3 linked regions of the Oryctolagus cuniculus genome follow. The protein of the gene in region 3 purifies or fractionates together with the protein of the main gene of each other region. This does not show direct contact. Links are inferred from orthologs where the notes say so. Each region holds a gene or a part of one and is shown on either strand. Other genes may lie near its edges. The genes, in order: PLIN2, SQLE and MARCHF6.

Evidence for each region.
Region 1: the proteins of MARCHF6 (region 3) and PLIN2 purify together in Homo sapiens (affinity purification with western blotting; 3 studies listed by BioGRID). This does not show direct contact. The link is inferred for Oryctolagus cuniculus from reciprocal best matches to the Homo sapiens genes MARCHF6 and PLIN2.
Region 2: the proteins of MARCHF6 (region 3) and SQLE purify together in Homo sapiens (affinity purification with western blotting; 4 studies listed by BioGRID and IntAct, with this or other methods). This does not show direct contact. The link is inferred for Oryctolagus cuniculus from reciprocal best matches to the Homo sapiens genes MARCHF6 and SQLE.

What each region holds. Positions count from the first base shown.
Region 1 is NC_091432.1:182,106,599-182,110,981, reverse strand, and holds the start of PLIN2 (perilipin-2), read left to right. Parts: upstream 1-1,495; 5' UTR 1,496-1,506; coding exon 1,507-1,672; exon of another isoform or gene 1,673-1,935; intron 1,936-2,620; coding exon 2,621-2,673; intron 2,674-3,362; coding exon 3,363-3,558; intron 3,559-4,383. UniProt on the Homo sapiens protein: Structural component of lipid droplets, which is required for the formation and maintenance of lipid storage droplets.
Region 2 is NC_091437.1:150,643,961-150,647,607, reverse strand, and holds part of SQLE (squalene monooxygenase), read right to left. Parts: intron 2,638-3,647; coding exon 2,385-2,637; intron 1-2,384. UniProt on the Homo sapiens protein: Catalyzes the stereospecific oxidation of squalene to (S)-2,3-epoxysqualene, and is considered to be a rate-limiting enzyme in steroid biosynthesis.
Region 3 is NC_091445.1:39,765,405-39,769,051, reverse strand, and holds part of MARCHF6 (E3 ubiquitin-protein ligase MARCHF6), read right to left. Parts: intron 3,051-3,647; coding exon 2,916-3,050; intron 1-2,915. UniProt on the Homo sapiens protein: Endoplasmic reticulum membrane-associated E3 ubiquitin ligase that plays a critical role in mitigating endoplasmic reticulum stress, the regulation of cholesterol and lipid homeostasis, and ferroptosis.

The sequences.
Region 1 (4,383 bases), on a different chromosome or scaffold from region 3:
GGGAGAAAACAGTAATTTTTCTTGCTAGGAGCCTCTAGAAATTAATTCAATCCTGTATAAAGAACTTTTTAAAAAAATATTTATTTATTTATTTATTTATTTGAAAGGCAGAGTTACAGATGCAGATGCAGAGGCAGAGAGAGGGAGAGAGAGAGAGAGGTCTCCCATCTGCTGGTTCACTCCCCAAATGGCCACAATGGCCGGAGCTGGGCCTATCCAGAACCAGGAGCCAGGAGCTTCTTCCAGGTCTCCTGCATGGGTTCAGGAACCCAAGCACTTGAGCCATCTTCTACTGCTTTCCCAGGCACATTAGGAGGGAGCTGGATTGGAAGTGGAGCAGCTAGGACTCCAGCTGGTGCCTAAATGGGATGCTGGCACTGCAGGAGGAGGCTTTACTTGCTATGTCACAGTGCCAGCCCCTAAAGGACCTATTCTTAATTGGTCTGTTCGGAGACTTAAATACGACAAGCAGGGACAACTGTTTGGTACAGCGTTTAAGACCCTGCTTAGAGTACATCCCATACAGAGCGCTTTGGTTGCAGTCCCAGCTCGCTTGTGATTCTAGCCTCCTGCTAATGTGCGCCCTGGGAGGCAGGGGGGTGGCTCAAGTCCTGGCTCCCTACAACCCAAATGGGAGACCTGGATGAAGTGTCCAGCTGCAGGCTTTGGCTTAACTCAGTCCAGGCCATCTGGAGAGTGAACCAGAGCATGGGAGTTCTCTCTCAAACAGTATCCCTGTGCGTGCTACACTGGTTAAGCAACCGAGCTGCATGCTGAGGTCACCTGGTACCTAGCATTGTTGCCTACCCCCTCACTCTAGCTCTCTGGCCTGTCATTAGATTGTCCTCAGCTGGGGAGACCCAAGCCCTACAACTTGCTTGGGAGATCGATCAGAAACTACCGTCTAGGGAAGAAATGCGCTCAGCACTGTTATGGCTCCGGGTGGTCGCGTAACTTTTGTGCTCAAATAATCTGATTCAGGTGTCTGCATTTTACACAAGAGGAAACTAGGAACGCAGAGCTGGCCATCTTGCATAGAGTTAGGCAGCTATCACTTCGTAGAGATTTGGGGTAAGACCAGAAGGGGTCTTATTAGTATTCGTAGGCTTTTTCTGTTAATTTCAATTCAAGGCTCCATCAGAAATCAACGTTTAAGGGACGGACTTTAAAGCCAAAGAGCAGTGAAACAGGAATCTATAATTCTGTAATTCGTTTAGAATTTTGCGTAACACTAGGAAGTATTTATTCGCTTAAAACAAACAAACAACAAAAAAAAAAACAAAAAACCCCCAGCAGCTTAGAAGTCATTGTTCACATTCCGAAAGCGTTCTCATCAACACGTGTTAACCCGCCTTTCCCGAAATCCTAACGCCTGCGTGGCAGTCATCCACTTTTGCACCTGGCTCTCAGAATCCTCTACCCCGGGACACGGCCCCCGCCTCCGGGCAGAGCCCCTCCCCCGGGCTGGGATCCCGCCCCCAGGGAGGTCAGGGCCCCTCCCCTAGAATGGCCGCTGGCCGGCCGCGGAGAGGGGAAGGGCCGGCCGCGGGTCACGTGCTGCGTGGTGCGGCTGGCGCCGCCCGCGGCGGGTACTTAAGGCGGTGGCCGCCCGCAGGCCGCGCTCTGCACGTCCGAGCTGCCCGCGGGATTCGACTGCTCGCCGCGCCCATCGGTGGGTGCCCCCGCCGCGCTGAATGTTGCTGGGGGGAGGGGGGAATTCCTCGGTTCTGGGGACCTGCCCCGACCCGCCGGGCTCCGGGCTGGACGGCGATGGCTGCGGGCCATGCGGCGGGGCAGGGGCGGGCTTCCGAGCTGTCCTTCTGTGAGGCGTCTTTCCTGCGGGCAGCTTCGGTGCTGCTGCAGGGCTGTGGAGCAAATACTTGTGTCCGACCGGACGTGATTTAAAGGGAACACGCTTTGGAAAATCGGTCTCAGGCATGGTGTGGTGGGGCGTGCAGTGACTGTAGGGCTAATGATCATGGCGCCCAACTTCCCCCTCTGGGCAGCGCCTTCCCGTTTCTTGGGGACCTGGGACCCTGGTGGTGGGGGCTGGGCTGGCGCGGCAGTGGTGGGCCCCGGCCGGCCAGGTGCTTTTCCTCGCCAGCTTGGAGGGTTGGCCTTTTGTGTGGGCCGTGGGGGGAATCCTAAGTTACCCTGAAACGCTCGGTGAAAAGTTTCTCAATTCCTCGGACCGCCTCCTTCGTCTTGTGCTTGGTGTCCCTGAACTCGTTTTGGTGCTTTCATGAGGGAGGTAAAATTAAGTAACCCTCGGATTGCTCCAACTTCGTCTTCCCGACACCCTGCTGAGTGCTCGCTGACTTAACATGGGTTTTAACTTGAGAATCTCTTTTGTGGAACAGCTGTTCTAGTGTCCTGGTGGAGAATTCAGAGTAGGAGGTCAACGACTTCGCTTTTCTCCGCTGACCTCTTTTTCTGTTAAACAGTTTACATTTAAGGCCTGAAACCTTGCCGGGGTTAGGGATAAAGGGGAGGTGGAAGTCCAAGATCATCTGGAAATATTTTCTACTTGAGCTTGGTTTGTACTTGAACATTTTCTTGGGCTGGGAATGAATCAAGGGAGTCTTATCCTAGCGTCCTGAAATAAGTATCTCTCCCATAGATTCCTTTCTCCAGGAAGAAAAAATGGCATCCGTTGCAGTGGACCCACAATTGGTATGAGTTTTATTTAATTTTTATTTCTTATTTGAGAGGCAGAGAGCTCCCATCTACTGGCTCCCTCCCCAAGTGCCTGAGTAGCCCCCCAGCTAAGGCTAAAGCCAGATGCTCAATCTACATGGTTGGCAGGAACCTCAGGGCTTGAGCCATTACTGCTGCCTCCCAGGGTCTGCATTAGCTGCAAGCTGCAGACAGAAGCTGGAGCCAGCTGTCAAAGCCAGGTACTCCTAGGCCAAATGCCTGTCCCAGGTCTTAATTTTGAATAGGTGTTTTGTGACTGTTTTCTTCCCCAGTGTTTTGAGAAGTTAACAACCAAGGGCCGGCGCTGCGCTGTAGCGGTTAAGCTGACAGCCACCCGCAGTGCCAGCATCCCAAAGGGACGCTGGTTCGAGACCAGGCTGTTCTACTTCTGATCCAGCTCTCTGCTATGGCCTGGGAAAGCAGTAGAAGATGGCCCAAGGCCTTGGGCCTCTGCACCCGCGTGGTTGACCTGGAAGAAGCTCCTGGCTTCAGATCAGCGCAGCTCTGGCCATTTCGGCCAGTTGGGGCGTGAACCAGGAGATGGAAGACTTCTCTCTTTTTCTCTCTCTGCTTCTCTCTCTGTGTAACTCTGACTTTCAAATAAATAAATAAATCTTTAAAAAATATTAAAAAGTTAACAACCTCCTCTTTCCCTTTGGTTGCAGAGTGTGGTGACTAGGGTCGCCAACCTTCCCTTGGTGAGCTCTGCATATGACCTCGTGTCCTCAGCTTATGTCAATACAAAGGATCAGTATCCCTACTTGAAGTCTGTGTGTGAGATGGCAGAGAAGGGTGTGAAGACCATGACCTCCGTGGCCATAACAAGTGCTCTGCCCATCTTCCAGAAGCTAGAGCCACAAAGTGAGTTCTCATTTTTCCCTTCAACATTCGGTCCAAGGAACTGTTCAGGGATGAGGGATTCTCTGCCCTTCCGGAAGCAATACTGACTGTACTAGCAACTGTTGGGTGACCCTCGGACCTGGAAGGCCTGATGTTCACGATACTTTAAAAAAAAAAAAAAAAAAATCCCCAGAGATGTTTCTATGTTGGTAACCAAGACCATAAGGTTAGCATCAGAACTGAAATGAAATACTGTCTTGAGCCCACACACTGGATATAAACTTTTTTTTTAGTAATTTTTATTGCGGTAAAATTAACGTACCATACAGTTTGCCTATATAAAGTGTACAATTCCATTGTTACTATTTGTGTAGAATTGTACAATCAGTACCACTGTTAACCTCCCTGTTAAAGAAATCTCATACCAAAGTTTCTGTTTGGGATGATGAAAGGCTCTGGAAATGAATGTTAGTGATGATTGCCAACATCATGAAGGAATTTAATGCCTGTTACACGTAAAAGTGGTGAAGATGAGTTTATATTTTGACTGTTTTATCAAAATAAAACAGACGTCATGCACTTTACCAACCGTTCCCCATTTCCTTGCAGCCTCCCCTGGGCAACTACTAACATACTTTCTGTCTTTATAGACTTCCTATTTCAGACATTTCATATAAGTAAAATTATAAAAGTGGTCTTTTGTAACTGATTTTGTTTACATTTTTAAGGTTTATACTTACATCAGTACATTATCTCTTTGTGTGATAATCTGTTTAGGTAAATCATATTTAATTCATCAGTTGATGGGCATTGGTATATTCTGCTTTTTGGAGATTATGCTTTTGT
Region 2 (3,647 bases), on a different chromosome or scaffold from region 3:
CCATGTGGCAGACCTCGATGAAATTCCAGATTCCAGGCTTCAGTCTGGCCCAACCCTGGTTGTTGTAGCCATTTGAGGAGTGAACCAACAGATGAAATATCTCCTTCATTGTCTCTCCCTCTCTCTGTGTAACTCTGCCTTTCAAATAAATAATCTTAAAAAATAAACTGCCAAACCCAGTGGTCATTTTTCTATACTCATCTTACCAAACCCTTCATTAGCAAACCTTGTCATAGCTGTCCTTTCTTAACATACCCATTTCCTCTGAACAGAAAGATTCTCCTTTCTTAGATTAAGTGACACCAAACACTTCTGGCTTTCTTCTACCATCAGCCAGTTCCTTCTCGGTCTCTTCTGCATGCTCCTCTTCTACACAATCTTTAAATATCAGCATTTCCCAAGACTTAATTTATTCTATCTTCTCCCTATACTTCCCTTGGGGTCTTGATCATTGCTATGGCTTTTAAGCACCACAAACATGCTGTCAACTGTGAAAACTTTAACTCCAGCCAGTCCAAACCACTCCTCTGCACTCCAGATTTACATCCAATTTGACATCTACACTTAGATATCCCAATAGGTTCTTCCCCAAAGTTCCCCCACGCCTGTTCCCCTCCAGTACCTCCATATTCTCTCACTCTCAGCAAATGGTATCACCATTTATAAGTTGCTTAAGTCAAAACCTAGAAATCACTTCTGATATAGCATCCTCTTCCTGACATCTCATGCCAATTCCTGAGCAGGAATTGTTAATTTCATCATGAATCTGTCTACTTCTCTATATATCTGCTATCATGCTAATTAAAACCACCACCATCTGTCATTTAGACTCAGTAATTAGTCCTCACTAGACTCCTAACATTGCTTCCTGCCCACTACCACAATCTTACAGTGTATTTTCCATACTATATTCATGTAAATGGCATTCCACAAATGCCAGAGTTTGACTTAATAGTGAGCTGTGAAATGAATTTCAAATTGCCAAGTGTATAATCAGGTGAAATCATGACAAGTATTTAAGAAGTAAAGGAAATATCTGTCAGATGGGCACATGTACTGAATGTACTGAGAATGTAAAATGTATTGTCACTGTGAGTAGCTGTTAAAAGCTTGAAACCACTATTTTCAAGGTAAAATAAGATCATGTCACACTCTTGCTCCACTGCCTAACAAGGCCTGCATGATCTGGCTGCCGCCCACCTTTCCAACCTAATCTCAAGCCTCTCTTCCTTCTCCATCATCTACTACTTTCCAGTTTTGTATTGTTCTCCTTTTCAGTTCCTTACACAAAGCAGCGAATACGAAATACGTGTCAAGCACTATTACAGATGCATTATATATGTGAACCCATTTACATGAAAGGCAGATTCTTTTACTAAGCCCATTTTATAAATAAATGAACAAAAAAGGAGGTTAAGTTACCTAGGCAAGGTCACACACCTCTTAAGTGGCATTCAAAAGTCATAAACCTTTTAAGAGGTGGTATTCAAACTCAAACTATAGTTCTAGCATGGAAGGCTTCTAGTTGATACATCATACTTCCTACCACACACACCTAACAAGCTCATTCTCACCTCATAGCCTCAGTAAATTTTGAGCTCTGTTCTCAAGAATAGAGTTTATCTGTCTAGTTTATCAACAGACTCTTAGTACCCAGTACCAAAGTAGGTAGTGAATACGTATTTTCTAAATAAACAATTGGTGCTGAAAAAGCACTGGTTCTAAGGCAGGCACTTAGCCTAGCGGTTAAGATACCTGCCACCCACATTTGAGTACATGGATACTGCTCTCAGCACTGGCTCCTGACCCAGCTTGCTTCCAATGTGATCCACAGGAGCAGTGCTGATAGCTAAGTCATTGGCTGCTGTTTCACCACGGGAGACCTGGACTGAGTTCCTGGCTCCCAGCTTCCGCCCAGCCCAGCCCAGCCCAGCCTGGCTCTTGCAGTAATTTGGGGAGTGAACCACTAACTCTGTCTCTGTCACCCCAATAAATAATTTTTTTAAAAAAGGCATTGATGATTAATGATGCTTAAATAACAGATTCAATGAAATAATGCTGTAACAAGTATATAATATATATTCTACAAATCATACTTCCCTTCACTTTTCACTAAATTTCATGCCTTCATTCAAGGAGTGTTCCAATACTCATTTTTGACCATTACAATTTTTAGACATTTCATTATTATTTCCTTAAGTCTATTTAATATCTCCTCACATCCTGTTTTCTCCTTTGCTCTTATTTTCATGCTAATCTATTGGTAACTCAGTAAATTTTACAAACAGAAATAAACTGAAATGTCTTTTTATTACTTATAGTTTATCCTATGCAAAGAACACTTGCTTATTCTCTAACTCTCCCAAAAATCAAGATAAACCTACCTCCAAGACCAAGGTCTTTGAGAACATGATAACCACCTGGCTGCAGAAATTCTCCAACTATTCTGTCAGGCTCTTTTAAATCTCTCTCAATTACTGTCACCTTTCTTCCATCTCTGGAAAGCACTGCTGCCAATGCAGAGCCAAGTATACCAGATCCCACGATAATAACTTCTGGATCATTTTGACAAGATGTGGATGTAGAGGTAGCTGCTCCTATTAAGGTTGTTTCGGAAATACTGGTTCCTTTTCTGTGCTGTAAAAAAAAAAAAAATACGTTTCCAAATTTGGAAAGTATAGTATAATTAGGCTTAAATTATACTATTAATATACCAATACACCAGACTGTTGCATCTTGGGCAAAAGCTAGACCCCAAACATTATCAAACCAAGTGAAACATTTTTAAACCCAGATCACATATAAAAATCAATGATATCAGGGCCGACGCTGTGGCACAGCCAGTTAACGCACTGGCCTACAGCGCTGGCATCCCATATGGGTGCTGGTTCGAGTCCTGGCTGCTGCACTGCCGATCCAGCTCCCGGCTAATGCGCTTGAGAAAGCAGTGGAAGATGGCCCAGGTTCTTGGGCCCCTGCGCCCTCATGGGAGACATGACTGAAGCTCCTGGCCTCGGACTGGTCACCTCCAGCTGTTGCAGCCATTTGAGAAATGAACCAGTGGATGGCAGACCTCTCTCTGTCTCCACCTCTCTCTGTAACTCTTTCAAATAAATAAAATAAAACTATTTCAAAAATCAATTATATCAAAATACTGGTTAAATAAAAATGTGTGATATCCCAATGAAATTAAATATATGTTCCTTTTTTCAAACATGATATTTAGAAAATTCTGTTATATAGCTATCTCTGGAAAATCATACCAGCCAGGGGCTGGCACTGTGGTGCAGCTGGTTAAAACCCCAATCTGCAGGACCGGCATCCCATATGGGCACTGATTTGAGTCCTGGCTGCTCAGTCCAATCCAGCTCTGTGCTAATGCGCCTGGGAAAGCAATGGAAGATGACGCAAGTGTTTGGGCCCCTGCACCCACATGAGAGACACAGATGAAGCTTCTGGCTTTGGCCTGGCCCAGATCCGGCCATTGCGGCCATCTGGGGAGTGAACCAGCAGATGGAAGACTCCACTCTCTCTTTAACTCTGCCTTTCAAATAAATAAAATCTTTAAAAAAAAAAAAAAAAAGATAGTCATACCAGCCAAATATAATAAATACTCATAAGGGGCTTCAAAGGCTTACTACAGGACA
Region 3 (3,647 bases):
TCCAGATCTCCCACATGGATGGAAGGTTCCAAGCTGCTTTCCAGAAACATCTGCAGGGAGCTGGATCTAAAGTGGAACATCCAGGTCTTGAACCAGCACCCATATGGGGTGCTGGCAGTGCAGGTGCACTGGACCCCTATTTATTTATTTATTTTAAAGTCAGAGTTACACAGAGAGAAGAGACAGAGACAGAGACAGAGAGAGAGAGAGAGAGAGAGAGATCTTCCATCCACTAATTCATTCCCCAGATGGTCACAACAGCCAGGGCTGGGCGAGGCTAAAGCCAGGAACTTTATCCTGGTCTCCGACATGAATGGCAGGGGCCCAAACACTTGGGCCATCTTCTGCCACTTTTCCCAGGCCATTAGCAGGGAGCTGGATCAGAAGTGGAACAGTTGAGACACAAACCAGAGTCTCCCACTATGCCACAAAGCTGGCACCCAAGTGCATGTTTTTAATGTTTTCTGTGCTATTCTTCTAAGTTTGCTATTAGAATACATTAAACTAGGGAAAAAAAAATCTCTGAGATGAAAAAATACAATCACTACTATATTAGTATCACCTGGCGAAATGATTATGTTGCAATATATAAATGTCTTAAAAAGAAGATCTGATTTGTATTACACGCACTTCCTGGGAGGAATTATCTTAAGAGACTGTACAGTCTCTCATATCTGTCACTTTACTGTACCTCATCTCTCCCCATACCCCATGTGAACAGAAATCACCCAGAAGGTGTTGGGCAACAGATATGGATGTGTCTGGGTACAGTCCTGTGTGGTCAAGTTCACTGAGTTATTCTGCGAAAAGCATCTACTCTGCCCAAACCTCTACTTTTCCATAGCACAAATGAGAGGGTTACCATTTCTTTTTTTTTTTTTTTGGACAGGCAGAGTGGACAGTGAGAGAGAGAGACAGAGAGAAAGGTCTTCCTTTGCCTTTGGTTCACCCTCCAATGGCCGCCGCTGCCGGCGCGCTGCAGCTGGCGCACCGTGCTGATCCGATGGCAGGAGCCAGGTACTTATCCTGGTCTCCCATGGGGTGCAGGGCCCAAGCACTTGGGCCATCCTCCACTGTACTCCCTGGCCACAGCAGAGAGCTGGCCTGGAAGAGGGGCAACTGGGACAGAATCCGGCGCACCGAATGAGACTAGAACCTGGTGTGCTGGCGCCGCAAGGCGGAGGATTAGCCTAGTGAGCCGTGGCACCGGCCACCATATACCATTTCTAAAGTGGACCAACAAGAAACAAACCACACAAACGAGATTAAAAAAAAATTAACTATAAAATATTTCATCTCGGGGCTGGCGCTGTGGCACAGCGGGTAAGGCCACCATCAGCATCCCATGTAGGTGCTGCTTTGAGTCCCAGGTGCTCCATTTCTGATTCAGCTCTCTGCTATGGTCTGGAAAAGCAGTAGAAAATGGCCCAAGTCCTTGAGCCCCTGCACCCACCTGGGAGACCCGGAAGAAGCTCCTGACTTCGGATTGGCACAGCTCCAGCCATTGCAGCCGACTGGGGAGTGAACCAGCAGATGGAAGATCTCTCTCTCTCTGCCTCTCTTTCTCTCTCTGTGTAACTCTGACTTTCAAATAAATAAATAAAACTTAAAAAAAAAAAAAGGCAAACAAGAGGCTGGCACAGCGGCATAGTGGATTAAGCTGCCGCCTGCAGTGCCGGCATCCCAAATGGTTCAAGACCCAGCTGCTCCACTTCCTGTCCAGCTCTCTGCTATGGCCTGGAAAAGCAGTAGAAGATAGCCCAACTCCTTGGGCCCCTGTACCCACGTGGGAGACCTGGAAGAAGCTCCTAGCTCCTGGCTTTGGGTCGGCTCAGCTCCGGCCATTGCGGTCAATTGGGGAGTGAACCAGTGGATGGAAGACCCCTCTCTCTCTCCCCCTCTCCCTCTCTCTGTGTGTAACTCTTTCAAATAAAATAAATAAATCTTTAAAAAAAAAAAAAAGCAAGCAAAGAAAAACATTTCATCCTTAAAATCTAGAGCTCATATATAATTACAATTTTTTAAAATACTTATGTGTATCTGCTCTCATCTCAATCACTTCTATCAAAAAAAGCACACCAGCTTATACTATACAATTCAGGAGAATGTTTTGATGCCACCCCCTCCTCCTCACATCTTTCAAAGAGAACAACATTCAGCCTTTGTTCTTTTGTATTCTGTTCCCACTGGATTTGCAGGCCTGCTTCTGTAGGCCCTGCACATTTCCATCACCAGTCTCAGTGGAGAATGCTCCACTTGATCAACAGCTTTATTTATTCATTTCTTATGAAAGTGAGGAGATAGGAAATGTGCCTTTGTTCCTCACTATTACACCAGCATACACAGCACAGTATCTGGTATACAGCGAATACCTAGTCATTATCTGGGGACGATTGACCTTAAGAAATATATCAAATATTAATCTGTTTTCATCATATTCATATCAACAAGGACTTGATCATTCCAAAAAAGCTGACCAGCAAAGGTATTCATCTAGTAAATGAATTAGAATCATAAAGGATGCTCCCTGTAATGCTATACTTGAAGTGCCTGCTTCAAAGCCATTTTACATATTTGATCTGCAAACCATACCCTTTGGATAGTTCTAGTATGAAGCTCATACACAAAATTCTAAGAGCATACTACAAGATGACTATACATATAAGCAAATTAAAGAGTGCTCTCATTTAATTTTTCCTCAATCTATCATCTTTCACACTTACAACTTGTCAATTAGAGACAAACAACTGGAAACAGTTTAAAGCAATCCAAACTCCCCTTCTAGTTAGTCCCTTAGAAAAAAACAGAGGATAAGAGTTATTTAGGAAATCACCAGAGCCTCTGAAGCATGACTAGTGATCAAGGCAAAAGGCCCTTTCAAAAACACACAGTCAACATTTCCACGTGGGACTCACCTCTCTGAGTAACAGAATGAAAGAGGCAAAGTAGAACACATACACCATCCCCACAAGCCAATGCAGGAACATGGTTGTGCCTGGGGCTGACTGAAAGCTCAATTCTCGATCCTTCAGAGTAGCATCAAACATTTCCTAAGCCAAAACAGAAGAAGTGAGAGAAATTTGTACCACCTACATTTGCCAAATTAACATTCCATCCTCCACCCAGGAAGTAAATAAAATCACTACACATGTAGTGTACGATATTCTAGGACTGCAGGTCTCTCAGCGGCATTTCAAAGTGTCACAGAATCACATGTAAGATTGGATACTACTTCAAAGAGGTAGATAACTCCTTAAAACTTACCAACAGTGAACAAGAGCTTTATTAATACTATTACAGTAAAAGGAGTAGTTTTGATTAATTTAACCTTCTTCTCTTGGTTATGGGTCTGTGCTCCTAAGAAGTTTCAATACTAAGCAACCTCAGAATCAAAGGCAGTATTTCTACAGACAAAATGTTTCTGCAAAATCAAACTGTTTATCAGTGAAAGTCATTGAAGATTATAATCAAGACTGAGCATCTTAAACAGGATTAAATTTATTACTACAAAGTTATTCTCTTCATCAAATTATACTTTTTTTGTATATAATCTCTTACTATTATCATAAAATGTAAAAGGGCAAAATGGATAAGAAAACTCTCCACTGGTTATTAGAAAGGTTCCATTCAAAATACTCTATACAAAA